Oryctolagus cuniculus: one gene and its partner. The protein of the gene in region 2 binds, or shares a complex with, the protein of the main gene of each other region. Links are inferred from orthologs where the notes say so. Each region holds a gene or a part of one and is shown on either strand. Other genes may lie near its edges. The genes, in order: TAX1BP3 and KCNJ4.

Evidence for each region.
Region 1: the proteins of KCNJ4 (region 2) and TAX1BP3 are in contact, whole or in part, in a crystal structure (PDB 3GJ9), measured with the Homo sapiens proteins. The link is inferred for Oryctolagus cuniculus from reciprocal best matches to the Homo sapiens genes KCNJ4 and TAX1BP3. Residues at the interface, in NP_004972.1 of Homo sapiens: Arg440, Arg441, Glu442, Ser443, Ala444, Ile445; in NP_055419.1 of Homo sapiens: Leu27, Ile28, Leu29, Gly30, Phe31, Ser32, Ile33, Gly34, Gly35, Asp38, Gln39, Gln43, Asn44, Thr58, Arg59, His90, Asp91, Arg94, Leu97, Thr98.

The regions. Positions count from the first base shown.
Region 1 is NC_091448.1:48,978,406-48,992,787, forward strand, and holds TAX1BP3 (tax1-binding protein 3), read right to left. Parts: upstream 9,404-14,382; 5' UTR 9,189-9,403; coding exon 9,150-9,188; intron 7,248-9,149; exon of another isoform or gene 7,075-7,247; intron 6,835-7,074; coding exon 6,715-6,834; intron 6,384-6,714; coding exon 6,306-6,383; intron 6,223-6,305; exon of another isoform or gene 6,057-6,222; coding exon 5,919-6,056; 3' UTR 5,108-5,918; downstream 1-5,107. Other genes in the region: CTNS (cystinosin), read left to right, coding at 999-1,169, 2,491-2,608, 2,865-2,979, 3,311-3,365; EMC6 (ER membrane protein complex subunit 6), read left to right, coding at 9,442-9,549, 9,750-10,130. UniProt on the Homo sapiens protein: May regulate a number of protein-protein interactions by competing for PDZ domain binding sites. Binds CTNNB1 and may thereby act as an inhibitor of the Wnt signaling pathway. Competes with LIN7A for KCNJ4 binding, and thereby promotes KCNJ4 internalization.
Region 2 is NC_091442.1:115,104,369-115,118,427, forward strand, and holds the start of KCNJ4 (inward rectifier potassium channel 4), read right to left. Parts: upstream 6,977-14,059; 5' UTR 6,041-6,976; intron 1-6,040. UniProt on the Homo sapiens protein: Inward rectifier potassium channels are characterized by a greater tendency to allow potassium to flow into the cell rather than out of it.

The DNA of each region.
Region 1 (14,382 bases), on a different chromosome or scaffold from region 2:
CACCCGACCCGCTTCCTGCCGTGCTCCAGCCCGGGGCACAGAGGACACCCGTGAGCCCAAGTTTGGAGTGAGGGACCCCGTCAGAGCTGGAAGGGGTCGAAACAGTGGAGGCCCCAAGCCCAAGGACTGGGAGGCAGCCAGGGAAAGGCGCTTGCTTTCAGTCCAAGGGTGAGTGGAGTCCCCACGGGGCAGGGGAAGGGCAGGACACTCTCCCCAGCGGCACAGATTGTGGAGGCTGAGGGACATCCGAGAGGAGCTGTGAGCACATGGGTGTGCCGGGGTACAGGTGCCAGTAGGGGAGCAGGCCCCCATCAGGAGGGTCCCACGCGCCAGGCTGAGGAGCCTGGACCAAACCTTGTTGCCAGGGACCCCTCCGGTTGGCAGCAGTGCTCTCAACACCCTGCGGTTGTGCCGCCTCCCTCCTAGCATCCCTGTCACGCACCTGCAAGGCCACGCTGCTCTTCGACCCCCAGATGCCCAGTTTCCCTGCCCTTCCCTGTGAAGCCTGGCCATAGGAGGCCTCCTTTGCGGGAAAAGGCAGGGGTGGAGGGTCAGACTACAGGGACCAGGCGCCCTTGGGGCACAGAACAGTCAACAGCTGGGCAGGGACCAGGTCCAGGCCTCCAGGGTATTGATGTCTACTTCCCAGTTCGCTTTGCTCCTGAGTGAGCTCTGAGAGGTGCCTCGTTCTGCACAGTGGGTACCAAAAGCAGACAGGAGCAGGAGAGTCTAAGAGGGGCTACACGGGAGACCCTGATAGTAAAAAGGATTTGTTGGTGCTGGGGCTGTGACCCTGCCCACTACCGACCTGGCCGCTGGCCCCAGCCCAGCGCTGACTTGTTCCGTGGCCCAGATGAGGCTGTTGATCTCTGCATAGGCTCTGCCAAGGTCAGCCGCAGCCTGCAGCTCTCCCCCATGGCCCATCATCCACCCAGTTTCTAAGCCGTCCCCTCCTGAGTCATCACTCTAATCTGCAATTCTACCCTCACCCTTCCCAGAGAGGCGGCCAGCGCGTGTCCAAGCCAGCCATTGGCTTCCTGCTGCTCTCCTGGCTCTTCGCATTCATCACCATGATTGTGGCCGCGGTTGGGGCCACCACGTGGCTGCAGTTTCTCTTCTGCTTCTCCTACATCAAGCTCGCGGTCACGCTGGTCAAGTATTTCCCACAGGTACTCGCAGGGCCCTCCTGCATTTTCACATGGTGGTGCGGGGAGAGCTGAAGCCACAGGAGGCAGGGAACCCCAGTGGGGCACCCCGACAAGCACCTCCTGTACAGAGGGTTCCTCCTGGGAGGGCCCTCAGCCTCCTCCTGAGTGCTCAGTCCCACTCAGGTCCAGGGACTTAAGAGTCAAATACATCTTCCCCCAAGAGAAGCAGCAGCCAACCGCAGACTCCCACCTGTGAACCACAAGCCTCTTTTAACTTGCCCCATTCCCAGTGGGAAAGCTCCGTTCTCAGCTACCCCAGCGCTGGGAACCTTGTGCTCCGTGGGCTCAGGAAGGAAGGAGTGTTGGCCAGGCACAGGGCTAGACCCTGAGGGCCAGCAGAACGTAATCCTATGAACAGGAGGGGAGCCAGGCAGGCAGTCCAGGCTGGGGGCAGGGACGGACAGGGTTAGCCTGCACAGAGGCACAGGCAGAAGTGCGGGAGGCAGCAGGGAGCAGGGCTGGCCCAGCAGCATTGACAGTGTTGGAGCTGGGGAGGGCCAGGTCTCAGGGGTCTTGGGAGGGCTCCTGGGCAGGGGAAGGCATTGGGTGAACTAAGTCCTCAGCCCCAGGGAAGAAGGAACCCAGCTGGAGAGGTCTGGAATCATCCGGGCCTGCAGAGGCAGCAGCAGGTACGGAAGAGGCTGGGAGCAGACAAGGCCAGGAGCCTGACTGGGAGAAGACCAGCAAAGGGGCCCAGACTTCCCTCCTAGGCTGGAGGGAGGGAGAGGGCACCCGTCAGGGAGACCCAGAAGGCAGCATGGTTTGGAGAGGCAGCAGGAAGAAGGGGATGTTAAAGCTGGTCCAGCTACTAGCCCAGCCAGGCCGAAGTGGGCATCAGCTCCACTCTGCAGATGGGGAAACTAAGTCTAGGAGAACTCAGCAGCTTGTCCAGGATGGAACGGGACGCCACAGTGGGAAGTGTGCGGTGCGGGCTGAGTGCGGGGAGAGTGCAGCTGCACGTGTGTGGAGTCAGGAGACAGGAGACCAGCAGACAGCTTGGTCCACAAGGGAGCAGGACAGAAGGTGGCATCCGCCCCTGCCTCCACCAGTTGTGAGGGGCAGGGGGGCCTGGAGGAGGGCGTTTGCCTGCTGTGCACGCCAGGACCACCCAGACTGTCCCCTCGGCCGAGGCTCGTCACAGCCCAAAGGTCACTGTGTTTGTTGGAGCCAAGGCCAAGCACACGTGTGGGAGGAATTAGAGCCACTCTTGTTTGGAGCAGCAGTCACAAGGCACAGGCGGCAGCCACCCAGCCCCCTCACCGCCTCTGTCTGTCTGGCCCAGGCCTACATGAACTTTTACTACAAAAGCACCGAGGGCTGGAGCATTGGCAATGTGCTCCTGGACTTCACCGGGGGCAGCTTCAGCCTCCTCCAGATGTTCCTCCAGTCCTACAACAATGGTGAGTCACCCAGTGGGCTGCAGGCACGGGGGGGCCTGGCTTCCGGGGACCCCCTTCCCACCAGCCCTGCAGCCTGGTTCCAAGCCGATCCCAGCCCTGCCACCCCCCTCCAGGAGAGACTCCCACAGGGGCCTTTGTAGCTGAGGATTTGGTTTCCTGGGCAGGGGAGGACCCTCTCCCCGCCCCGGCCCTGCACTCCGGCTGCTTCCGGAGCTGCCAGTCTAGAACCAGGTTCTGTCCCCTCTGGCTGTTACAGACCAATGGACCTTGATCTTCGGAGACCCAACCAAGTTTGGACTTGGCGTCTTCTCCATCTTCTTCGATGTCGTCTTCTTCATCCAGCACTTCTGCTTGTACAGAAAGAAACCGGGGTACGACCAGCTGAACTAGCGCCCAGGGACCTGGTGGGGAAGGCCTGGCCCAGTGAAGGCCAGAGGAGTGGGCTGGTGCGCAGAGCTGGCCAGTATGCTGGCTGGAGGAGCACTTTCCCTGAGGGCCCAAGACCTTAAACTTGAACCAGCCCTCCTGCATCCAGGCCCTCCCTCGGGGACAGACAGACGCCAGACTCTGGTCAGAGATCAACAGCCAGCCCTCAGGCGGTCCTTGCCAGCCTCCCCGGAGGTCTCCAGCCTTCCGCAGGCCTCCCTGGCCATGCTGCTGGCCCTCCTGCATCTTGATGCCACCATCTCTGTTTTCTTTAAGGCTTCAGGCAGCACCCACAGGTCTGGCAGCCATCTCAGGCACGACTGGGCGCTGAGCTTGCAGTGGAGGCCTTGCCCCAAACAGCCATTGTTTCTGGGAGCAGCGTGAAGGGCTGGCCTTACAGCCGGCACAGCCAAGGGTGCCTTGCTGCCACCGCTGTTCTCAGAGACCCAGTGGTCAGATGCTGTGGCCGACGGACTGAGGTGCTGGTGCTGGTGGCGGAGGGGCCAGGACTTCGGGGTTAGGCCTTGGGCTGCTCGGGCTGAAGGTCACTTTTCCTGACACTGTTTCTGCCTAACTCGGCTCCCTCCACTGCAGCAGCAGTGGCTCGGGCCAGGGCCTGATAGAGTATTTCCCAGCCCCGAGCTGCCCATGGGTTGGCTCAGAACTGGACTCAGGCCAGCATCCTCTGGCCGTCTACCCCACAGTGAGCCTATCACACTAACTCCTTCCAGCCCTGGGCGAGGGAGGTTTCACAAGTGGCTGACTTGGTTCCGCCCTCTCTCCTACCTCTACTTTCCCCGAGCCCGGGGGCCCCATGGGCGCATGCCTTACTGCCCCTGTCTCCGCCAGTCTGTGCCTTAGGACCTGTCAGACCTACCTGAGTAGCACTCCTGGAGTGAGGGGAAGGCCCCCTGCCCTCATATCCCCCAGACCCTACCTGAGACCCCTTTTGTGCTGTTCAGGAGCCTTCAGTTAGAACTTGAGCCCAAGTCACTCAGTCTCCACGGGCCTACCCCTGGCACAGCCCCTCCCTTCCCAGCCAAGCTGATCTTTGTGGTGGGTGGAATGGAGGGGGGAGGGTCCCAGGAGGTGCCTTGAGCTTGTCAATCCACTCTTTTTACTACAAAATCCCTGTGAGGGGCCCATGCCCTCGATTAAACCTGACCTGTTTGTTTTCTGCGCACTCTAAGCACTCATGAGTTTCCAAGGCAGGTGTGGGACCTGCAGGGCCAAGTCCTTGGGGCTTAGGGAGACGCCCTGTTTGCCTCGTGTAAGGCAACGCATAGGGCTGTGAAGTTTGCTGACCCAACATGGCCGAGTGCTGACCCTGCACATCATTCATCATGGAGCCCTCTTGGGCAGTGCAAGACGCCTGCACACCCAGGGCCAGGTAGGTCTCACAGGTACCACGGCCTGCTGCTTGTGCTATGGGTGTAAGCAGGGGCGGGTGAGGTATGGAGGGCGTGCTGCCCCTGGGAGCCCAGCAGTGGAGGCCTTGCTCTGCAGATCCTTGTCCAGCTGTAACACATGCCGAAGATGACAGCCAGCCTGCCATGTCTGTATACGCTTTAAAAGATCTCAGAATCTTGACTCTCCTTTAAGAATCACACCTGGCAGTGCGAGACGGATCCAGGAATGGCCACAACTTCCCAGGGCTGGTAGGCAGGGGGCTGGGTACTCTGCTTGGACCCAACTGGCCAGACCTCAGCCCCTGGTGACATCTGGGGTTGTGTCCTGGCTGGGGCATGTTTCCCAAGACCCCCTGGGTGTACGAGGTGCAGCCCAGGTGGGAGCTGAAACTGAATTACACAGGCGGGTTTCAGGCATTCAGGGGCCAGTCCCGGCCCCCACCCCAGTTCCAGTGCAGGTGCATCCAGATGTGGTCCTTGCCTGCTACAGCGGTTCCCACTGAAGCTCCAAGGTCCCACCAGCTCGGCTTCCCTGGCAAGAGGACCTGGGAATGGTCGGGCCTTGTCTTCTTGCCTCAGAGCAGCCAGGGACAAGCCAGCCACCCTGTGCTCGCCCTGAGCCACCCGCACACACCACGCCCCCAGCCCTGGCAAAGAGCTCTCATGGATTCCAGCGTTGTTTATTGGGCAGATGTCAGAGGTGGAACAGTGGCCTCCAGCCCCGTTTCCATGGTAACCAGAGTGAGGCCTGTCCACTTGCTAGGAGCTGCCCTGGATGTGAATTAGTAAGCTAAATTACAGAGCAGAGTGGGCATCTCCAAACAGTACAATAAAAAGGCTTTGTATCAAAGTTGGACTAAAAAAATACAAAAGTTAAACCCACAGGCGTGGAGGACAGTGGCAATCCTGAGATGTCCGCCTCAGAGCTCTGCTAAATCCTGCAGGCAGGCAGGCCCCAGGGAGGCCACCCCTGGGAAGTGGGGTGAACAAGGGGCCTGCCTGCCTCCCCTGGGGCAGGCCTTCCCAGTGCCTCTGGCAGCATGGGTCCAGCCCCTAGTGGACAACACGGAGAAAGTGTGGGGCGCAGGCACTGCGGAGGTGACACGGGAGGCAGGGCAGGGTGGGAAAGGCGTCCCCCCACCAGCCTTCCCCAGCTTTGGCGGCTCTCAGGAAGTCTTTCCGGCTTCCCTGGGGCACTGCTGTGCAGGCAGCAGGGTCTGGGGGCTGAGCCTAGGGTCACTGCAGCCTGGAAGCCACTTGGCCCCAGACCCTTCTTCCCAGCCCTCAGTTTCCGAGGGAGCCAGCTGGTCCCAGAGGCCTCGGGCTGGGGGCGGGAGTGTGACAGGGAGGCGGGATCAGGCCTCTGGGATCAGCTGCGGCTCAGCATTCAGCCACAGGCGGGACGTGGGACAGATAGCGCGTGGGTAGTGGTGTCGCTATACAAACAGGCACGAGCCAGGGAGCCTGGCGGGCTGCTAGGAGAGCATGGACTGCTGCACGGCCTTCTGCAGCGACTGCCGCGTCACCAGCAAGCGCACCACCTCCTCCGACCGCTTGGTGAGCCGCTTCCGGGCCTGGTCGTGTGTGACCATGGTCATGTCCCAGCCGTTCACCTGGCCCACGGAGAGAACAGCCCAGCTCAGCCCACTGCCCTCTGACATCTAGAGGCCAGGGGGCTTTAAGAGGCCTGGGTCACCCCTCCACCTAGCGTCCCTGAAGTACACAGAGGAGAGCCGGCTTCCTCCGGGGCAGTACCAGCATGGGCTCCAAAGGGCTTTGGTGAGTGTCTCCCAGCCCCCACCCACAAGTGTTTCAACCCCTCTAGCCCCAGCCATGTTTTCCTCCTCTGGGACACCTGTTACCTGCATGATCTTGTCTCCAATCTGCAGGCCAGCAATTTCAGCAGGGCCTCCTTCAGACACCCGTGTGACATAAATGCCCTGGGAAGAGAAGCCTGGGTCAGGCCCTGTGGCCCCTGGACTGGCTCTCATACACAGAGGAGGCCCAGTATAGCACACCCATAGCTGTCCCTCTGTCCCTGTCCCCAGCCTCCCCTGGCACACAGCTGGTGAAGGCTATGCCAAGCAACCAGGGATGCCCCAGCCCTGGCTGAGGGCCACCTCCCGCTCCTCCTGGGCAGCTGGGCAGACCGACCTCCACCCCTACTCTTTCCCAGCCGATCATTTCCTGGACCCTCTGAGATGGGGTCTGCTCTTCCCACACAGGCCCAGGAAGCAGTGCCCACCCTCTCAGGCCTCCGGTCCCCCTCACCTTGTCTGTCTTGTCCTCCGAGAAGGGGTTCTGGGAGGGATCCTGGTCAATGCCCCCTCCAATGCTGAAGCCCAGGATTAAGTTCTCCCCTTGACGCAGCTTGTGAATTTCAACTCTTTGCTGGCAAACAAAAAAGGAAGCTGGCTTAGGTGGGCATGTAGAGAAGGCCTCTGGTAGTGCCAGGCCAGCTCCGAGCCGTGCCAAGGGGTGGGGCCCGGAGTCCCCTACAGGAATGCAGCTGGTCCCCAGCCCTGGAGGCTGACCCCCTCACCCAGTCCTGCCCTCCACTTTCCCCCTTCCCAGTCTCAGGTGCCAGTCTTAGTCACAAGTGCTCACAGCCCCTCCTGGCCTATGAGCCAGGGCTCCACCTAGGACACGGGGTGGGAAGGGCCAGGCCCTGAAAAGGTGACACTGCCGTTGGGAGCCAGCCTGTCACAAGCAAGGCAGGAGGTGCTGGGACAAAGTGGAGCAGATCAGCCGGGGACAGAAGAGGACTGCAGATGCTGGACGTTTGTGACACTGGCACCTGCAAGGTGAGATGGGGCTGGTGCCAGACAGAGAAGTCTGGGATGCAGGACCACCAGACTGGTCCCAGATGAGGTCAGGGGTCTCCTGGAGCCCCGGGCCCTGCTCATGCACAGTGCAGGTGGCAGAGAAGTGTTCTGGGGCTCTCCCAACATGCTCTGGGGCTGGGGTGCTCAGAGCCTTCAGCAGGCACCCTCAAGTCACTGCTGGGAGCCACACCAGATCAAAGCTGGGAGCTGGGGGGGAGGGAAGGTGACTTGCTCGGCCCTGAGGAGGCTTCACCAAGGAGGGATCATTTTGAACCAGGACTTGAGAGGATGATCAGGAGTTTGGCTGCCTGGCCTTGACCCTGGAACCCAGGGGAGCTGACCAGGCTTGGGGAGTAGGACAGGGCATGGTCAAGTTTGAGGCTAGAACAACTACTTGGGCAGTCAGAGCAGGTGCCTCAGAGGCTGGGGTGGAAGCCTGGGGACAGGAATGCTGAACACGGCAACATTCCAATGGGGGGACCCAGGAGAAGGAGCAGGTGGGGCTGGAGTGCTAGGAGCCATCCGGGAAGGTGTCCAGGAGGCAGATGGTCAGGGAGAGGCCAGGCCCACCCAGGCGGCTCCTGGTGCTGCAGACCTGGGCGCGGCATAGTCTTACAGCCTGAAGGAAGACCTTGGGCCCACCTGTGGCATGGGGTGGGGAGGAGGAAGCATGAACCCTGAGGCCCACTGGGTCCAGTACCCAAAAGAGGGCTCCTGCAGGTCCATCCCACCTCCTCCAGCACATGCCCTCAAGGGAGAAAAGCGCACAGCCCTTGAGGTGGGAGGGCTCTGGCACTGCCTCGCTGGGTGCTCTCTGGCCCCTCCCTTGCACCACCTTTATTCCACTTGAGAAGCAAAGCTGACCCCTAGCCTCTGGGCAGCTGTTGGGCTCTGCAGAGCTAAGCTGGTGCCCGCAGGGTGAGGCTCAGGACGGCTGTCAGTAGCTAAGCAGGGCCTTCTCCAAGTTCACCCTCGTGCCACCTTTATCAGCAGCCTCTTTGCCTGGCTGCAGGAGCCCATGGGAGATAGCACAGCCAGTCCCTGCGGCTCCAGGGCTGGGACTTTGGCTTGACCTCTCACAGGCGGAAACCTCTGGGGAGCTGGGCAGGAGACCTGGGTCCTTCCTGGCGGCTTCCTTTATGGCTGGGCGTAACCGGACTTCTTTCTGGGACTCTGCGGGAGGGGGAGGGGGTGGCCTCCAGGGCCTACTCAGCTGGGACACAGACGTGTGGGTGTCAGCTCCCTTTCTCCCTTCGCCTGTTCTGACAGCACCTGGCACACGGTGCGCCGAAAGTGCCAGGCGGGAGACCTGCCCCTGGCCCCAAGGGCTGGGGATCCAGCAGCTGAGAAAAGGATCTGGCTGGTAGGGTGCGCATTCACTCCAATGGGGCAGGGGCCTCCCTCCGGCCAGCCCCACCCCCAAATCTCGCTCCTCGGGGCGGTGGCGCCGGCTGGAGCGGAGGAAGCACTTCCTCATTCCAGAGGCTGCGACTCACGGACGTCGGGCCGGCGCCCGCCCCCCGCGGCTGCCCAGCTGGGGGCACCGAAGCCCTGCGAAGGGGCGCTTTCCCAGACGCCCGCATCCGGAGCCTTGCTCCCCCGTGCTCCCCGCGCCGGCAGGCCAAAGCAGCCTGCCTCTTGGGCGACGGTGCGCGGAGTCTGGCCTCCGTCTGGAGCCTCGGGAGGCTCCTAGCCCCCAGAATGAGCTTCGTGGCCGGAGGAGGCTGCGGCCGCGCTCCTGCAGAGACCCGAGCCCTGACAGCGGGTTTGCACGGGCCCCCGCCCCGGTTCGCTGCTTTGCAACCTGACTGGGTGTCAGTTTACCGCTCTGAAAAATGGGGGCAAGTCGAGACGAAAAAGAGCCCGCGCGAGTACACTCACCACCACCGCAGTGACCGGCTGGCCCGGGATGTAGGACATCTCGATCCCAATCTGGTAACCGGGGACCGCTCAGCGAAGCCCGCAGCTGGGATTGCCGCGGCCGCTCCCTCCCTGGTTAACAAAGGCACCCTGGCTGGGCACGCCCCCTTATGAATAGTTAACAGATCTCCAGCCAATCACCGGCCGGAGCGCTGTTCGGCTTTCGGAAGTCCCGGAGCGTGCGTAGAAAAGCGGGGAGAGGGTGGAGCGTGCCCGGCGCGCAGGCGCGAGAGGCGTAGTTGAGCCAGCGCGCATGCGTAACGGGCCCTCCCAGCATCCTCCAGCACAAGATGGCGTCCCGGGGGTCTGTCCTGCTTCCTGTGTGAGGGAACGCTGGGACTATCCGCCCGCCGTGTTCCAGGTAACGGGGCTCTCCTGGCTAGGGGACACAGGCGTGTCCCCGTTCTCCCGGCCGGCAAGAGCCGTCAGCGTCCTCGGCGTCTTTGGGGAGACGGAGATCCAGGACTAGCGCCAGGTCTCGGAAGCCCCAGGGGGAGGGGGAGGCCATGGACCCTACTCGCCGCGCTCCGGGCGCCACTTGTAACTCGGTTTTCCCCACAGCCGCGCCTCGTTCCGCGAGAGAGCCCAGGCCGAGCCCCGGCGGGTGCGATGGCCGCGGTGGTGGGCAAGAGGGAAGGGCCGCCGTTCATCAGCGAGGCAGCCGTGCGGGGCAACGCGGCCGTGCTGGACTACTGCCGGACCTCGGTGTCGGCGCTGTCGGGGGCCACGGCCGGCATCCTCGGCCTCACCGGCCTCTACGGCTTCATCTTCTACCTGCTCGCCTCCGTCCTGCTCTCCCTGCTCCTGATCCTCAAGGCGGGCAGGCGGTGGAACAAGTACTTCAAGTCGCGGCGGCCGCTCTTCACGGGCGGCCTCATCGGAGGCCTCTTCACCTACGTCCTCTTCTGGACCTTCCTCTACGGCATGGTGCACGTCTACTGAGCGAGGGCGGGACCCGGTCGGCGGCGCTCCGCGTAGACTCGCCGAGGTTTTCAAAGTGTTGAGTTCGCTGCTTGTTCTGTAACGTTATACATAACTTATCTCTGAGGACGACGAGCCCGTAATGTTTTCAGATTAAATGAAGTGTGAGACGCTTTGTTGGACCCTCTCTCCTCCTCTAGCGCACGGGCTGGGTGCGGAAGCCGAACAGGTGGGGGCTGGGGACTGGGCGCTAACCTGGCCAGCTTGGGGTAGCGTCTAGGAGCTATAGACGGCATGGTAGTGCTGGGTGGGCTTTGATCTCACTCGATTCTGTTTATTTTTTTAATTTGTTACAGGGAGGGAAGAGGGGGGAGAGGGAGGGAAGTGAGGGGAGGGGGAGGGAGAGAGAGAAAGATCTTCCATCCACTATTTATCACTCCCTTTTATGGACGCAGCAGCTGGAGCTGACCTGGAGCCTCTTCTGGGTCTCCGGGTGCATGCTGCTTTCCCAGGGACCTGGGTTGGAAGTCGGGCAGCCGGGACTGGAACCGGCGCCCACAGGGGATGCTGGCGCTGCAGGCCGGGGCTTTAACCCACAGCGCCGGCCTCTAGCCCCCTTGCTCCTGGCAGTCTACTGCCTCACTAAGGGGCTGCTGTGGCTGGGGCTCAGTGAGGACCAGAAATGCTGCTCGCTGGGAAGGCCCAGGGCCAGGTGTCAGGCCTTGGTCTCGTAACTTGCTCTCGTTGGCCGAGTGTGCCTGGAGGGAGAACTGTGTCACTTCAGATCCCTTTCACCTGGCGACACTGTGCTGCCTTTCCCATAAGAAAAAGCAAATCCAAGCTAAACTGGGTGTTTTAACATGGGGATACCTCTGCCTGTGTTAATCCATCACCTTTCTTTTCAGGAGGGTTATCTTAAGTGCGAGTGCCTAATCGAGAAGTAAATACTGCTCCAGAGTCGCAGTAATGAACAGGTTGCTGCAAGAATTGATAGTCTGCCTGGGGAGAGCAATACTCTCTGTGGTGAGTGGTATCAGGAGAGAGTGGTAGGGCCCTGGCCCAGCCCAGGGGGACGTGGAGGCCCAGGACCGCGGCAGCAGACACCGCTGCGTCTGCAGCCTGGAGGGGAGGGGCTGTCTCATCATTAGATGGGACAGGAATTCAAGAGCCTGGACCCAAGCGCCCGTTTCATTTACTGAGCCTAGGTGGCCCCGGCCGACCATGGAAGGGGATCTGGGACCCGGCCTGAATTCCGTCCGGGCCCCAGGCCAAAGGCTCGGCACAAAGCCAAGGAGCTGCTCCTCCGTCCACCCCTGAAGCGCCCGGTTCAGGTCTGCCCGCCTGCCCCTCTCTCCAGGCGTTGGAGGGGGAGGGAGAGCCAGTCCTGAGGCAGAGGCGGCAGGAAGCCTGGCCTTGAGCAGACCCTGCCCTGTTGGGCACTGAGTGCCTTCCGGTTCGCAGCATTTTGAGGGGATTTAACAGGCCGCCCGGGCACAGGCTAAAAGCTGGGTTCCGGAGTCACCAGCTTCTACTCGTTGATTGAAAAGTGTCAGTTTGACCCGTGCCTTCCCAGTCTTCACGCATAACATAGGCCCATTTCAAGGGTTTCCACGCTTGAGTTTGAATTTCTCTGCCAGATAATGAGGAACATGCTACAGTGCTTACTCACTGTTGGGTCTGCCTCTTTCAGTCTCTTCTTCTAAAATCAGGCCAGGTTTAAAATGGACATCTTTTATTTATTGTTTTAGAATTACATGAAAGTATCCGAGAATGCACATCTTGGACGCCCCCCACGGTCTCTGCCGCCTTCCCTGGCCTCGGGGGACAGCAGGCAGAAAGGGGAGAACAGGTGTTCCTGGGGCCCCAGGTGACTGCCCTGAGGGGAGCTGCAGCTCTAGGGAGGGGGTGGCTTAGACCAGAAGGAGCCCTCCCAGACGTTGAAGACGCCTTTCCACGTGGCGCGATGTGGGAGCACTGGCTGGCTGCTCTGACACCCAGAGATCTTGCTCCCCCTTCACAGCTGTTCCCGCGGAGGAAGGAGGAAGACCCCAGCATCAGGGCCAGGGCACTTGGCTCTCTCTCAGCTGGGTCCCCGTCATGTCATACGGAGCCCACCCAGTGTACAAGTCTCCCACCAGCCAGGGTGCGCCCAAAGGCATTTCTCAATCTCTAGGAAAATACCAGGTGGGCAGGCGTAGGCTGGGCTCAAGCGTGACACTCAGGCGATACACAGATGCGGGAGGAGCTCCTGAGGGGCGGGAGCTCTCGCCCTCCCGGGAAGCAGTGTGGGCCCAGAGTGAACAGGGCTTGAGCAATGCCGCTCCTGCCTCACGTCTGCCCCCTAGCGGCCAGTCTGTAGATCAGTGAGATTGTGCAGGGGAAAGGTGAGACGCGGGCACAGTGCAGCACTGCCCGTGGGCTGGGACAGGGCCGCAAGCATCTCAGAGCCAGGGGCCCTGGACACGCAGTAGAGGCCGCCTGGAAGGCTGGGCTGGCCTTGAGGAAACAATGAGGTTGAATAAGTCCTCCAAGGCAGTAGGTTTCCGGGGCAACCCTTGCCAAATGAACGCTGAACCTGGGGGCAGCCATTGTGGTGCAGCACATTAAGCCACGCCTGAGTGTCTCCGTTCCATATTGGAGCGATAGTTCCAGTCCCAGCTGCTCCACTTTCAGTCCACTCTGCTAATGCACCTGGGCAGGCAGCAGAACACCCCAGATGGGGTTCTGGGCTCCTGGCTTTGGCCTGGCCCAGCCCCAGCTGCTGAGGCCATCTGTGGAACAAACCGGTGGATGGAACATTCTCTCCCTCTCCCTCTTCCTGTTGCTCTGCCTTTCAAATAAATGAATCTTTCTAAAGAAATTAAAAAGCCAGCATTAGCCGGCGCCGTGGCTCACTAGGCTAATCCTCCACCTTGCGGCGCCAGCACACCGGGTTCTAGTCCCGGTCGGGGCGCCGGATTCTGTCCCGGTTGCCCCTCTTCCAGGCCAGCCCTCTGCTGTGGCCAGGGAGTGCAGTGGAGGATGGCCCAGGTGCTTGGGCCCTGCACCCCATGGGAGACCAGGAAAAGCACCTGGATCCTGGCTCCTGCCATCGGATCAGCGCGGTGCGCCGGCTGCAGCGGCGGCCATTGGAGGGTGAACCAACGGCAAAGGAAGACCTTTCTCTCTCTGTCTCTCTCTCACTGTCCACTCTGCCTATCAAAAAAAAAAAAAAAGCCAGCATTGAAAAGGAAGTCTCACACAACCTACTGCAGCGGAGTGCCTTCACCCCGCTCCTCAGCTGCTCGTCTCGGGGTCAGAGCGCCTTCACGCACAGGTAGCCCCTCACTAGAATGGCCCGTCACCTTCCAGACTTCAACCTCTACACGACCTGGAAGCCCCGTCTGGGCACTGCCGGCTGAACACAAAGCACCCTATCCCGGCTGCAGGATGGGTTGGCCACCCGAGTAAGGCTTGCGCTGACACGAGTCCACACATGACACAGGACAGACACGTCCTAAATCCTGATTGACCAAACGAATGACCACCCAGAGCCATCTCCAGGTTAAATGGCTGCTGCCACGCCTTCCTGAAACCAGGTTAGGAGAAAGCAGACCAGTCCCTCGGCAGCCGTGACCCCTGCCCTTTGAACTTCCTCCCAAACATGAACAAAGCTAGCCCATAAAACCCAAGGGTTTGCTCTCTGGGTCACCCAGATTTCTCACTGTGTACTCAGCAGGTTGGGCTCACGGACAGGATCCCAGCCACCCCAAGGTTAGGAAGGGGCTACTCTGCTCTGGGCACCACGCCTCTCTGCCAGGCCCCAGGGGAAGGATGCTCACCGCCCCTTCTGTGCACTGAGAGCACCGTTGCCAACAAGGACGGCCCCACTAGCCAAGAAGTGGCTCAGACCCAGTGCCTGGGCAGTCCCTGCTCTCTGCCTGGCCCGTCAGCCCGTCCGGGCCCGCAGCAAGACACAAGCTCCAGCTTCCTCACTCGGGATTGCACGGGGAAGCCTCAGACACCGTGGCAAAGGGAGAAGCCGGCCAGCCAGCTCTCCATGCCCTATACTGAAGCTTACCCAATGTCTGCTTCAGACAGGTGTAGCCATCAGGAACCATCTGGAAACTTTGATTTCCCGCAGCTAACCGAGGAGAGCCTCAGCCACGCAGGGGAGCCCTGCAGAGCAGGTGGGGATGCCTCATTGCCTGCGCTTTCCTACCCTTCAACGTGGAATCACCAGGGGCGGTGTGTTTGGCACAGCATTAAGACACCATTTGGGGCCGGCGCCGCG
Region 2 (14,059 bases):
TCACCCCTGCTCAGACGGCCCGCCTGCTTGTGAGGAGGGAGGCGGTGCCGTGCAGTCCACGCAGCTGGCAGCTCCCGTGCTGGCTGGCCATGCTCCTTTCTGTGCTCCGGCCTGTCCCCTCAAGGACCCAGGACAGCACGGACCCCCACCCACCTGTTCCCTCTCCTGCACTGCTCACTCGCCGCCTACTCTCAGGGGGACGGCCCCAGAGCCCAGACAGCGAGAGGCTCTTTGGAAAGCCAGGTGGCCTCGGGGTCTGCAGCTGCACAGCCTGGCCTGGTGCCCCGCCTGCCCTACGGCCTGGGGCCGGGGGAGGCCGCGCGCCGACACAGGAGCTGTCCAGAGGCACAGTGTCTGAGGGTCAGGGCCGGTGAGTGGGGGGCTGGGACTCGGTGGCCACTGAGTAGGGCGGCAGCCCCGGCCCCCGTGCAGACTCCCGGGTCCTCCCAGCAAGCTGCAGACGCAGGGACACAAGGCTGCCCCCGCGGCTCGGGCTCGGAGGCTCGCCGAGGCGGAAAACCTGGCCAAGGTGACACAGCTGCTCAGCGGTGGGGCTGGACTCGAACCCAGTCCTTCTGTCCCCCATCCATGGGCCTTGACTGGGACTACACTGGCCACCCCTCCGGCCTGTGTCTGCCACCTCCCCTGGTCGGCCCCGGAGTCCAGTCCTGTCTGTCCTCGAGGCTGGGCGGCAGGGGAGGGGGCAGGGTGGCCCCAGAGGGGTTGAGCAGACCCCTCCCCTGGGCCTCACTCTCCCTCCAGCCGAATGGCATCAGCTTCCCACAGCAGGCGTGTCCCCCTCCTCTCTGGCCAAGCTGGGGTCCCCTTCCACGCCTGTGGCCTGGGGGGAGCTGGGGTGGCCGCAGACAGAGCAGCAGAAGGAAAAAGCCAGGGAGGGGCCAAGAGAGCTGGGGGGGGGGCGGGGACCGTGACCTGGTCAAGGTCACGCAGGTCAGTGAGTGGCTGAGCACCTTCCTCTTCTGGCTGTGATAAGGGGCTGCAACCTGGGGTTTTCCCAGGAGTTGGGGGTCCCCTCCAAGCCCCAAAGACAGGGGGTGCCCTAGAGAGAGAGGAGCAGAGGGAGTGGCCCTTGGCTTTGGTCCAGCCCCCACTCTGCCACCATCACTGTGACCTTGGGCAAAGCCCCGTGGCCTCTCCACAGTGCCCGGAGAAGGACTAGAAAATGCAGATGCAGAGCACACAGGGCCCCTGGGAAAGCTGGGGGGCTTTCTCCTTTGTCCCAGTCCTGAGCTGCCCCCCCACACACAGAGGTCCAACTGCACCCCGCCACGGCCCACCTGGGCAGGCCTCCACCGCGGCTCCCGGCTGACAGGTCACCATGACAACGCCACCTTCTCCCCGCACAGCTCCTGTTGGGGGTGGGAACACCGAGAACCCATGGAGGACTCTCCTCCATCCGCCAGAGCCCACTTCTCAGGCCCACCGAGGCCACAGGAGCCACATGCTGGTACCACGCTGGCCGAGGACTGGCCAGAGAGCAGGTAAACTGTCACAGGGAGAGACAGGAGCCCCCCGGGGCTCCCGGCGTGGCCGCGGCCGGGTGCACAGTCCAACGGGGGCATGTGGCTGCTTCCTCCCCTGAGGTTTTGGGCAACTCTTGCTCCCCAGGGAGCCTCGGTTTATTTTCCTCACCACAGCCTGCAAAGGCACCAGGCAGAACCCACCCATGGAGATGGAGTCCAGACACCTTCCAGCTGTTCCGTGGGGCCGGCACCCCACCCCCACCCCCGTTGCTGAGCCTCAGTTTCCCCTTCTGCAGACGAGGAGAACCACCGATACCCCACGTCTTCCAGGTCAACACAGGGCAGTGCTGGCCAGGGCACCCCAGCAGCTGGGGGAGCAAGACCCAGAGCCAGGCGGAGCGTGAGCCCCTGCCCCCACGCTGCACCCCGCCCACCAGGCTGTGAGCGCCGAGTGCGCGCCTGCAGGAGCGCGCGTGTGTGACTCAAAGTCTATTCATAGCCGTGCTCCGCCAGCTGCGGCGTCACAAGCAGAGGGGACTCAGCCCATATTATTATTCCAATTACCATCTGAATTAAAAGTTTGAGCAGAGATCGGCCCACGTAGCCAGGGGAGAGGGAGCAGCAGAAAAATAAAGATGAGAAAGAGAAGGAGGGCTGAGCCCGCAGTTGCCCCCACGCCCCAAGGAGCGCTGGGGCCGCCCAGGAGGCTTAAAGGTTACGCCAGCATCCAGGCTTCCCGCCCGCCCCTCGCCAGGGCCCAGGGGCCTCGTGAGCGTGGGACGGCGCCTCGGCAGCTCCTCTGTCCCACGGCGGACCAAGCGCGGAGAGGGTGAGGGACTGCCGCAGGGTCACCCGGGGAACCGCACTCAAGGCTACTCAGGACCCCCTCCTGGCAGGCAGGTGTCACACTCAGCTTCCTGTGACCTCAGCAGGGCGGGTGTGTGTGTGTGTGTGTGTGTGTGTGACACCTGCTGTCCCTGCCGGCTTCTCTGCCTGTTCGCACAGGCAGCCCTCGCCTGGAGCTGGCCCTCCTCAGCCCTCTGTGCCCCAAGCCCCACCCTCATCCCAAAGATGTCACTGCCCAGTGGTGCAGGGCACGGCGCCCCGGGCCGCGTCCAGTAGGACTCTCTGGGCACCGTGGGACAGGACTTGCCTTGTCTTTGAGCCTCAGCCTTGCCATCTGTAAAATGAGCTCTCCCCTCCCGTGTGGCTCTGTCTTTAGAGCAGGGGGTGGGGTGGGAGCCCCCAGAGGATCCCTGCACAGGTGATGCGCTGTGGGGGCGAGCAGACCCTCTTGGCCACACCGAGGCCTGGGGGAGGAGCATCTCCCGCTCTTTCCCGGAGGCAGCCCCCTCCCCCAGAACCAGGCGGATCTGAGCTCAGGTCCGGACCCCTCGGCTTCCTTGCTGTGTGACCCTGGGAAGAGTCTGTAACTACTCGGGGATTTCAGATCAACCCTGCGGGTGTTGCAGGGACGATGAAAGAATTTGCAAAACCTCCTGGCCCGGTGCCTGGTGGGACAGCGTGAGGGTTCCGGCCGGGGAGCAGGTGCGTGGTGGGTGCTATGTCCCAGCTCCTCCTTTGGGGACATCAAAGTCTCCCAGGAGCCTGTAGGTGGGAATGTCATTCAGCCTTGCCCATGAAGCAGGCGTCAGCTGACCAGGCTGGCTGGCAGGTGCGCCTCTGGTCCTGCTGGCACGGCTCCAGGAACGAGCAGCCCCCTCTTTCCCAGAGCAGCCACGGCGGCTCCCCATCTTTCTCTACCTCCAGTGCAGGGAACTTTCTAGAATGAACCACAACCACCCAGCTTAACCCCCAGTGCAACCTGTCCCTGCCTGGGACTGAGGCTGGCTTCAGGTGAGCCTGAAAGGAGTCCCTCCCTCGGAGCAGGTGCGCTGTCTGTCCGCTTCCTGCACTCAGGCCTGCCTCTGCTTCCTCCACCTGAAACCATCACCGTGACCCTGGCCGGGGAGGCACCAGTGACTGAAGCTCCAAGCCACCTGTCTCAGTTAAGACCCCTTTGCTCCGTCTCCCCTGCCCCCTGCAGTGCCTGTGGGTCTGTCCCCTACTCCCCGCCTGTTCCGTCCCCTCTTTCACGCCTGCCCTGCGGGGGGGGGTTGCCGCTAGGGCTTCTAGGGTTCCCATTGTACCGCTGGGGAGCCTGAGGCAGAAGCAGGTGCAGCGGCTTGCTCAAGGTCACGGACAGCAGTTTCACACCCAGGGCTGCCTCCTCTGCGCCCAGGGAGCGGGCACTGCAGGCGTGGCCGGCTGCTCTCTACACAGATGTGGACCCTGCCCGAGGTGGCCACCAACCACAGCCAGGGGGCAGCGCCACGGCCTGACTGCCCGCCCCTCGTCCTGCCTCTGGGCCCTGCGCCGCAGCCAGCTGCCTCCCAAGATCCCACCACCTACAGCGGAGGTGGGAAGAGGAGACAGGAAGACGGGAGAGAAAGTTGGGGGCTGGCCGCCGGCCCCGGCCCCGGCCCTTCGCCTCCCGCTCCCTCGTGCAGGGGAGCAGCGGTGATGTAATGCGCTCGGCGTTCGTCCCGGTGCCAATCTCAGAAGAGAGACGACAGATTGCGTGAGCCAAATTTGGCATCCTGGGGGGGAGAGGCATGAAAAGCGGAGATGTGGAGGAGAAGAGGAGCCTGGGAGGCAGGAGAAGCCCCCTGCCCTGCGGACCCCTCCCTCCACTCGGGCCCCCAGCTCCTCCCCGGCCCACCGGGTCTCCGGGCCTCCCTTCCTGTCTGGGGGAAGCCGGCGGGCTGCTGCAGGGACCCTCCAGCCAGCGCTGCCCCGCACCCGCACCCCCCAACACGCGCTCCGGCTCCGTTTCCCACCGCCGCTAGTTTCCTGGTTACCATGTTGCTGGTTGTCATGTCGCGTCCCTGTCCTCGTGACTCAGTAGTCCCCGCAGAGGGGCCCCTCCTCCTCACACCCCCCTTGGCACTCGCCCCCGCCTCCCCCAGATCCACATTAAGAAGCAGCCGCCCTGTGAGCCCACACGGCTCCTGCCCCCTCCCGCTTAGCCTAAAGCACAGAAATCTTTTCGCAGCATCTCCCAGGGCTGCTTCGCCCAGAGTTCCCGCACACATCCGCGAAGATGCTGCCAGCCTGCGGCCTCGTGCGCGCAGCTCGAAGTCCGTCCAGGTCCAGTTCCCCAGGCTCAGAGAGGTCAAGCCAGCTGCCCAAGGACAGCCAGCAGAAACCCTAACCCAGCTCTGAGTCACCTCGGACAGCTCCACCTTCTCGGGAGAGGACCCTTTTCAAGGGGAACCCAAGGGTCCACGAGGTACGGCTCCCAAGCCACAGGTCCCTCTGATTCCTGGACACTCCTGTCCTAGGGCAGTGTCCCTTCACCCTGCCCCTGGCCACGAGCTGCTCGGCCCCTAAAGGAAAAAAATCCTTACTCCCACCCGCCCAGCCACTCCCCAGCCCAGCGCCCCCCAGTGGAGGGCAGTGGGGCGCGGAGCAATGACCCCATTCCACAGATTTGGAAGTTGAGAGTCAGGGAGGGAAGTGGCTCGCCCAGGGCACTCCATCTCAGCAGCTGAGCTCACTTCAGGAACCCGAATGCAGGGTATATGAGGCTCTCTGCCCAGTGTAGACAACCCCACAGAGGGCCCCCCCACACCTTGGAACAGAGTCGAATGTTCCAGACTCAGCCCTCCCGGCTCCAGCGTGGATGTGGATCCACCCAGGCAGGCTGACAGCCTCTGCTCGGGCCCCTCGCACCCCTCTTCCATTTGTTCCAGCCAGCGCAGGCCAGGCAGGGCCACCATGTGACTCCGGGGCCCCTCAGGCCCCCAAACCCTAGAGCCCTGGAGGGCACCGGACTGTATGTGTGGAGGAGGGGATGTCACACACACACACACACACACACGAACGGCTGCAGCCCCTCTGGGTTCCCCCCACCTGCTGCTGCCAACCCACTGCTCCGGAAGCCCTCCATGGTGAACTGAACCTGGGCGCCGGGCCCTGCAGCCTGGGCAGGGCACAGGAGTGTGGGTGGGGGCCCGTTCTGCAGGTGGGGGGAGTCTCACACCTCTCTTGCCTGCGTGACGGAAGCACCACTTCTCCCTCTGCCCAGCCTCGGTTCCCACCCTGTGAACTGTGGGTCCCTGCCCGTCTGCCCTGGAGTGGCCCGGCACACAGCAGGTGCTCAAACGTGCCAGGTGGGGGGAGGTGGGAAGGAGACACCCCCACCTCCACCCCCTTGCCCCAGTCACCTGCCTTGAAGCTCTGGGTCTGACAGTGGGGGTTGGGGAGGTGGGGGTGGGCGGAGGCGGGAAAGGGTCACTGGCCGGCCAGGAGGTCAGGGTCTCCTCCAGTCACCTCCCCAGCCGCCACCCAGACCGCCACGCTCTCGACGGACACGCGGACAGCCCGCTAGCTCCTGGGAAGTCACGGGACCGCGCCAAACGCGCGCCGGGACCCAGGTCAGGGACAAGTTGAAGAGCCGTGGGGGCCAGAGCGGCCGGGCTGGGACAGACAGACACGCACGCGGCAGGACAGACGGACGGACAGCGGCCGCGGAGGGCGCGCGCCCGGCTTACCCCGGGGTTGAGGGTCCGACGGTGTCCGGGCGGCGGTGAGCGGGCGCTACATCCCACGGCGTCCGCGCGGGCAGCGGGGAGTCCCGGCGCGGCTCCCCGCGGACGCGGCCGACCGGCCCGCGCCCTCCCCGGCTGCGGTCGGTCCGTGCGTGGGTCTCGGGACCTCCGCGCCGTCCTGCGCCGCTCCCCGCGGGCCACCCAACTTTCAGCGCTGCCCCGCGCCGCGCCCTCGGCGCAGCCGGGGCGTCAGCATCATCCGGCCCCGGGTGCGGGCTCAAAGCGCGGGGCTCCGGGGGCGCCCGGCCCCGCCGCCGCGCCTCGGCCGCCCCCGCCGAGAGCTCTGTCGGTCACCGGGTCCCGCTGGCGCGCGCTGCCCGCTCCGCCGCCGGCCTGGGGTCACCCTCCCGCTCCCGCCGCGGGCTCGGCCGCCCCCTGCCGCTGCTGCTCCCGGCTTCGCTCCGGCTGCGCGGGGGTCTCTGCCCTCTCGCGGCGCCGCCCGCCTCCCGCGCTCTGCCCGCGAGGTCCGGGTCTCCGTCTCCCCCGCGCCCCCGCCTCTGCCGCGCCTGTCTCCCCCGCGCGTCTCCAGCGTCCCCTCCGCGCCCCGCGCCCGGCGCTCTCCCCCGCCCCGCTCCGCCGCCGCGTCCCCGGCTCTCCTGGAGCCCGAGCTCCCGGCCCGCGGCGCGCCGAGAACTCCCAACTCGCCGCCTGCCGCCCGCTTTGCGAGACTTTCGCCCCTCCTCACACGTGACCCGCGCCCCGCTGCGGAGGCCACGCGCCCGGCCCGGAGCCCCGGCGGCCCGCGGGGCCCGACCCGGCCCGGCTCGCTCAGTCTACGCGGGCATGCAACCCGCTCCCGCGGGGCCTGCGGCGCCGGCCGGGGGCAGGGGCTGGGGGGCTGCGTGCCCCGCTCCTGCCCGAGATCCTGCGCGGGTTTTCCTCCTCGCCCCGGGAGCGCTCCTCCCAGAAGCCGCTCCGAGAATCCGCTCCCGGGTTTTGTAGCCCCCCCAGGGGCAGGTGGGGAGGGTTCCTCCGAGCCTGGAGCGGGTGGGTGGGAGCCGGCCAGTCTGGAGTCCCGTGGGCCCGGCCCCCTCCTCTTGGCGCTCCCCGTTCCGTCCCAAAGACCGGACAGTGAGGAGCCCTGCGCACCTCCTCTGGGAGGTCGGGCAGCCCTCCTGGAGGGACCCTCACCACCGTCTCGGCAGCGCCAGGGCCGGGAGAGTGACAACCAGCGGGTCAGAGCTCCCAAGGTCACCCAGACGTGGCCAAACGCCAGGCCCGTGTCGTCTGCGGTCCCCCCAAACCCGTCTTACTCAGCGGTCTTCGTAAAGGAGGGTCCACACCCTGCCACCCGGCCCCACTGCCAGCGAGCCGGTCCGGCTCCCCAGGCACTCCGGGGACCCTCCAGCCGCTCCTTTCAGGAGCCGGGCCAGAGTCCTGCTCCCCCCAGGGTGGCAGAGAGAGGACCCCTGGGGGTAGACAGCCAGGAGAGCCGCCCTGGCGCCCCAGAGCAGACAGGGAGACTGGGGTGGCTAGCGGAGAGCTGGCTGGCTCTGAAATGCAGTCTGGCTTCTACTCCAAGCTGAAGCCCAGGGGGGAGTCCAGCACAGGTCACACGGAGCACCAGGGTCGTGACCTTTCCCTTCCCCCACCCCAGAGGACCCAGCCCCAAGCCCTGCCGGCTGCATGCCCACACGGACACCCTGGTCCCCACAGCTCCCAGAGCCAGGGGCCCACACGCGCAGGGACCCCCACCGCCTTCCCCTGAGAACCCCTGCTCTTCTCCAAGCCCAGCCCCGTGCCCCTTCCCAGAGAGGCCCTCCCGATGCCCTCAGAGAGGTCATTCACTGCGTGCCAGGCCCCAGGCTGGGCATGGGCATGGCTCTGGCTTGGTGAGCTTAGCAGACAGGCCAGCCTGGGCTCCAAAGGACCTCTGCGTGACCTTGAGAGAGACTTGACTGGACCTGTCTGCAAAATGGGGGCCCTCCCCTCCCCCTCCTGCAGAGGCAGGTTAATGTGCAGCTCATAGTAAGTGCTTAGCAAACGTGCTGTCCCTTCTCCGCGCAGGCGTCCACAGGGCTCCTCTGGTCCCGCGCCTGTCACAGGCAGACACCAGGGGGGCCTGATGCTGCCACATCATGCTGCTCCTGGGTGAGCAGATGGGAGGGGGGCTCCAGCAACCTGACGTGCGCTCCTAGCACACCTTCCCGTGGTTTGCGGGCAGGCCGATGCGCCGAGGCAGATGACCTGTGGAGGAGGGGGAGAGTGGAACAGGGCGTTGTCTCACGGGCTCAGTCCTCCGCTGCTTGGTCACTGGGCAGGAGTCGGGGCTGGGCGGAGGGATGCTCACCTTGCTGGCTACCCTGGGGGCAGCTGCTCAGTCCTGTGGCCATGGACTGGGAGGAGGTGGGGACAGGCAGCTGCAGGCAGGAGGGGGCTCAGGGACCCCAGGGGAGGTCCCTCCTCCACCACGGAGCCCTCTGTGACCTGGCCTCAGTTTCCCCGTGTGTAACCTGGGAAGGAGTGGCTGATCTGAGAGTGGGGAAAGATGAAAGGGAGACTTTGCCATTGTCCATCTGATGAGTGAGTGGCCTCCAACCTGTGCGAGGCAGGAGGTGGTGAGAATGGATGGCGTGAAACAGGGGTGCAGATGCCCGTGTGTGTGTGTGTGAGAGAGAGAGAGACAGACAGACAGAGAGGGAGGGAGGGAGGGAAGGAGGGAGGGAGCCCTGTGACCCTGGGCAAGTCGCTACTCCTCTCTGTATGTCAGAGGCCTCAGCTGTAAGGGGACAGTCTGGGGTGCACACGCATAGGGCAAGGAAACTTTGTCATCACCCAGCACAGGGTCACCCCTGGGCGGAGAGAGGCGGGCCAGCCTCCAGTGGACGCGAGCTGTGAGCCCAGCTCTATCTGAGACCCTCGCAGCCACTGCTTCACGGAATCTTTTTTTTTAAAAATATAGGTGAAAGTGTATACACTTCTTTAAAAAGATTTACTTATTTATTTGAAAGGCAGAGTTACAGACAGAGAGACAGAGAGAAAGAAAGGTCTTCTAGCCGCTGGTTCACTCCCCAAATGGCTGCAATGGCCAGAGCTGTGCCAATCAGGAGCCAGGAGCTTCCTCCGGGTCTCCCATGTGGGTGCAGGGGCCCGAGGACTTGGGCCGTCTTCTACTGCTTTCCCAGGCCACAGCAGGGAGCTGGATCGGAAGAGGAGCAGCCGGGACTCGAACCAACACTCATATGGGATGCCGGCACTGCAGGCAGCAGCTTTACCCCCTACGCCACAGTGCACAGTGCCACCCCTCACTGAATCCATTACAGGGGCTCTGTGACACAGACCCTTGTTACCAAATGGGGAAACTGAGGCACAGGTAGCCTTGTTGTGAGCGGTGTCACCTGGGCGGCCCCGGACAGCTCTCTGAAGAGCGCTCCGGGCTCGGAGGCTCAGTGAGATGCTGCAGAGGCTTCCTCCCTCTGGATGTTTGCCGCCTCCCGTCAGTCCTCGCGGCCACTCTGTGAGCAGAGGCTGGAGCAACCACACTGCATGGGTGAGGACACTGAGCTGGCACACAGAGGGCGTGTTTGCTGGGGCTCACGCAGGCAGGAAGCAAGTGTCTGTGTCGGGATTCGCACCGGGTGCGTTCCTGGTTTCCAGGGAAAGGTTCCCGGCTGGCCGAGCACCTGCTGACCAGCTCAGTCTGGGAGTCTGCTCCGGCCTCCTGAGTCCCACTGGGCTGTGCAGCCAGCGGGCTGCGGGGAGTGGAGGGAGGGGGCAGCCGGGGAGGGGAGGGACGGGCGCTTGGAGCGGCCGTCACAAAGTCCAGAGGTTTCTCCCCCGAGGTGCCGCCCAGCCGGCTCTGCAGAGGCCCTCAGCTGCTTGGATCAGAAATCCGACCAGGGCGCAGCTGGCTTGCCTCGGAGCTCCCGCGGCCCCACGGGTCTGCAACTGAGGTCGAGAGGTGGGGACGGGGCCACTGGGGGTCCAGGAGCCAGGACTCAGCCCGTGGGCTGCTCGCTGGGGCTGGAGGACCGACCTAGGGGTCGCTCCCACCCCCCACCCCCACCCTCGCCCACCCCTCAGCACTCAGTAGTCACCAGGGTGGAATATTTTAGCACCTATAGAAAAACTGCCACAGACGGCCGCGGCAGCTGTTGCTAAGGAGACGCTCCCAAAATAGCCCCCTCCACCAACCTTTCCTGCTGATGCTCCTGCTGTGTGGGAAAGGGGGGGTGGCACAGGAGCCTTGCCCCAGGCTCCCCCACCCAAGATGTGGGCAGCCACAGGGCCGAGGCACGGGCAGGGGCTGACCTGGGCATGTCTGTCACCTGGGCCAGATGAGGGGAGACCCTCAGTGCACCCCCCGCGCGCGCCACTGCAATCTTCAGTTACACACCTGCACCTGTGCACGCTGCGGTACAGCCCCGCACGTGCCCGCCTAGTGTGCACACACACCAGCAGACACATCTGCGCCAGGTGCACAAAGCCACATGTACATATTACATTACACATCCCAAGCACGCTCGCACACGCACACACACACACACACACACACACACCGGTCTGTGCACGCCAGTCCTGTACACACACACGCCCATAGAGGCACAGGTGTCCCAAACCCTTGCCCAGTATGTGGAACTCAGGACCCTGATGGAGGCCGTCGGGGGCCATGTCCTGAGACTGCCTGACATCCTCACTTAGCGGGGGACTCCTATGCTCCCAGCATGGCGGGGGTGGGGTGGAGGATGGGGAGGAAGTGGACAGACAGGTGGACGCGGGGTTGGGCCCCTGTGGGCCCCTCTAAGTCTGAGACCCAGGGCGCCCAGGAAGGGGTGCGGCGCCGACTCTCACCGGCAGAGCTGCAAGCTCTGGGCACGCAGTTCTGAGACCCCGGCTGCCACCCAGGCTGCCTGGGGCTGGGACGATGTAGAGGGCAAGACGGCAATAGGGGGGCGACTGTGCTGGTCCATGACGTGTGCCCGGCACTCTGCAGGCTTACAGGTAGCTATTACGCTCCTGTTTCATCCACCAGGGAACAGCTACTGTGGGATGGCCAGGCCCAGAGAGGAGATGGGGACGTCAAGAACACACAGGGGTCACTGATAGGGCTGGAACCAGAACCCCAGGCAGTGCCAGCCTCCAGCCCCGCGTGGCCACCCCGGCCAGGGCCTGGCTTTGCCCCTGGTTTGCCCTGTGGTGGGGGGAACAGCCAAAGCCTCCATCCCACCACCTGAATCCCCAGGCAAGCACGGCGGCGCGTGGCCACAGGCAGGGCGGGGAGCGCGCTCGCCAGACGCCCTCCGAAAGCCAGCGCAAGGACACAGGCGGCCGAGGCGGTCCGTCCACGCGCGGCCCGCGCGATCTCTCGCCAGCCTCGCTCCGGGGAGGCTCCAGTCCAGGAATCCCGGCTCCGAGTCTTCACCCGCGCCTCGTCACTCGGGAGACGCGGAGAGTGGCTTGCGGTTGCCGTGGGAACTCCGCCAGGGCCCGAGCGCTCTGCGCACGTCTCCAGGCTCCCGCGCTGGGCAGGAGCCGCCAGCCCGCGCGGAGAGCGGCGCTGGGGGTCTCGGGAAGACACCTGTCTCCGGCGGCGCGCTGGATCTGACACTTGCTGCGTGGCCCACGCCTTGCAAAGAGCCCCAGACACGCGGCTGCCTCTGACCCTGTGTGGTCAGTACTGGGTCTACACTCAGGTGACCCTTGGGAGACTCTGAGAGATGCTGGCACAGCACGCAGCGAGGAGCTGGAGTTCCCAATTCCATCTTTTCCTTCTCCCAACCCTTGGCCCCTTTCACCTAGGCACCTTGGGGCTTTCCTGCTTCCTCCCACTTTTGTCCTTGCGGTAAACTCCTACACACTCTTCAAAACCAGCTAGGGGATTCCTTCCCTGAAGTCCCCCCCCCCCCCGCCTTGTGATCTTCGATGCGACCGGAGGTCCTTGCTCCCAGCTGCCACGTCCCAGCCTTGCCAAAGCATCCGCTTCCCACAGGGTCCCTGGGGCTCTTGGCACTCCGTGAATGCGCTGGCCACCGACGCTGGGCTCCTGGCTCTGAAAACTGGTCAGCGAGGGTCACTCAAAGAGTTTCGACCCCCGGGGCTGCCACGGTGGCACACTAGGTTAATCCTCTGCCTGCGGCACCGGCATCCCATATGGGTGCCGGGTTCTAGTCCTGGTTGCTTCTCTTCCGGTCCAGCTCTCTGCTGTGGCCTGGGAAAGCAGTGGAGGATGGCCCAAATGCTTGGGCCCCTGCACCCGCATGGGAGACCAGAAGGAAGCACCTGGCTCCTGGCTTTGGATCAGCTCAGCCCTGGCCATTGCGGCCATCTGAGGCATGAACCAGCGGATGGAAGACCTGTCTCTCTCTCTCTCTCTCTCTCTCTCTCTCTCTCTCTCTCTGCCTCTGCCTCTCCATAACTCTGCTTTTCAAATAAATAAATCTTTAAAAAAAGTTTTGCCTGCCCCTAGGGAGAGGCAGATCTGCTGCCCGCAGCCGCCCCTATTCAGGAGAAGGGCCGGACCCAGGCCACTCCTCACCAGGCCAGACGACAACTTGGTGGCCTCCAGGGACCTCCGCGGAGTTCCGGGAGGCTGGGCCACAGCTCCCCTGGGGAGAGCCCCCCCCCCCCGATGGCGTCCAGGGTGGGGCTGGCTTTTCACTTTTTCACCCTTATTTCCTCCCACCCAGAATCCCAGGAGGTTTGCGGGATGTGAAACACAGGGGTGAAATACAACAGTTAGGACCAGAGCGAAAGAAAGGTCATGGGCACATGATGTTTCTGTAATGAGCGAGTCTCCTGTCTTCCCTGCGGTAAATCCTCCGACTTCGCACAGTTTGCTTGGTTAACGGGCAGTGAACCACCCCTGCTCTTTGAGCTGGAGGAATCGGGCCCCTCCGGGTGGGCGTCCCCTCATTTGCAACCCTGCGGCAGGCATGTTTTTGGGTGGTAGGAAGTTGGGGCTCCAATGGGTGAGATTTGCCCGGATCCACCCGAATGAGGGTGCAGGGGCGAGAGCGAAGGGGTTGGTGAGTCCAGGGGGTCTCGCCTTTCCCAGGGCTGCTCTGAAAATGCTCCCGCTGGAGACAGGGCTGGGGATCGGGCGTCTCCGCGAGTTCGGAGGAGCAAGAGAGAAACTTGGGCTTCAGTTTCGTCCTCTGTAAAGGAGGTTTGGTTTCAGCCTCACGGGAAACCAGGGACGCGCAGGCAAGGAGCTCCGCGCGGGCAGTCAGGGGGACGTCTGCCACTGTTTCCCCATTGCACAGATGGGGACACTGAGGCCCTGGGAGGGAGCATGGACGGCTCCAGCCGCGGCGGCAGGCTCCGGGCAAGGTTCAGGCCCCAGGGCCGCCAGCCCGGCTTCCTGCTCCTCCACCGCCGTGGTGGTCACTCCTCTGAGGGCCCGGGCCTCTGCCAGGCCTCCTGTGGTCCCCCCGCCGGGGAAAGGAGGGGGGGCATTCCAGCCTCCTTTCAGCCATGGCACCCAAGCCGCCCGGTGCCAGGTGGAGCCGCTTCCCGGCAGGACAGACGTTTCACCAAATGGCAAGTGCGCGTGCTTTTCCTGGGCCTGGGGAGGAGGTGGGCGCCGAGCGCAGATGCCAGCGGCAGATGCCAGAGAACCGCACCTGAGGATTTAAACAGCCACCGCCTTCTCCCGCGCATGGGAGGCATCTGGGCAGAGCCGGGTGGGTGACGCGGGGGACAGAGGGGTCTGCTCAGAACAGGGCCTGGGTCTGTGCCCCTCACTCACCTCCCTGGGCCTTAGGAGCCGGCACCTGCAAGAGCAGGATCCAAGCTGAACGGCGGGGACCTGCCCAGCCCACCTGCACCCCAGAGAGGGTCCGTGCGTGAGGGCTGGGTGATCACGGCCTCCCTGCCTGGGCAGGGACTCCTGGGGCTGAGCCCCTAACAAATGGGCACCCCCCAGCCCATTCACCCACCTCTCAGGACAGGGAGCTTGTCACCCGCCATGGCCACCAGAGTCAGGCTCCAGGACTGCCCAGTGGCTGTGTGACCTCAAGCAAG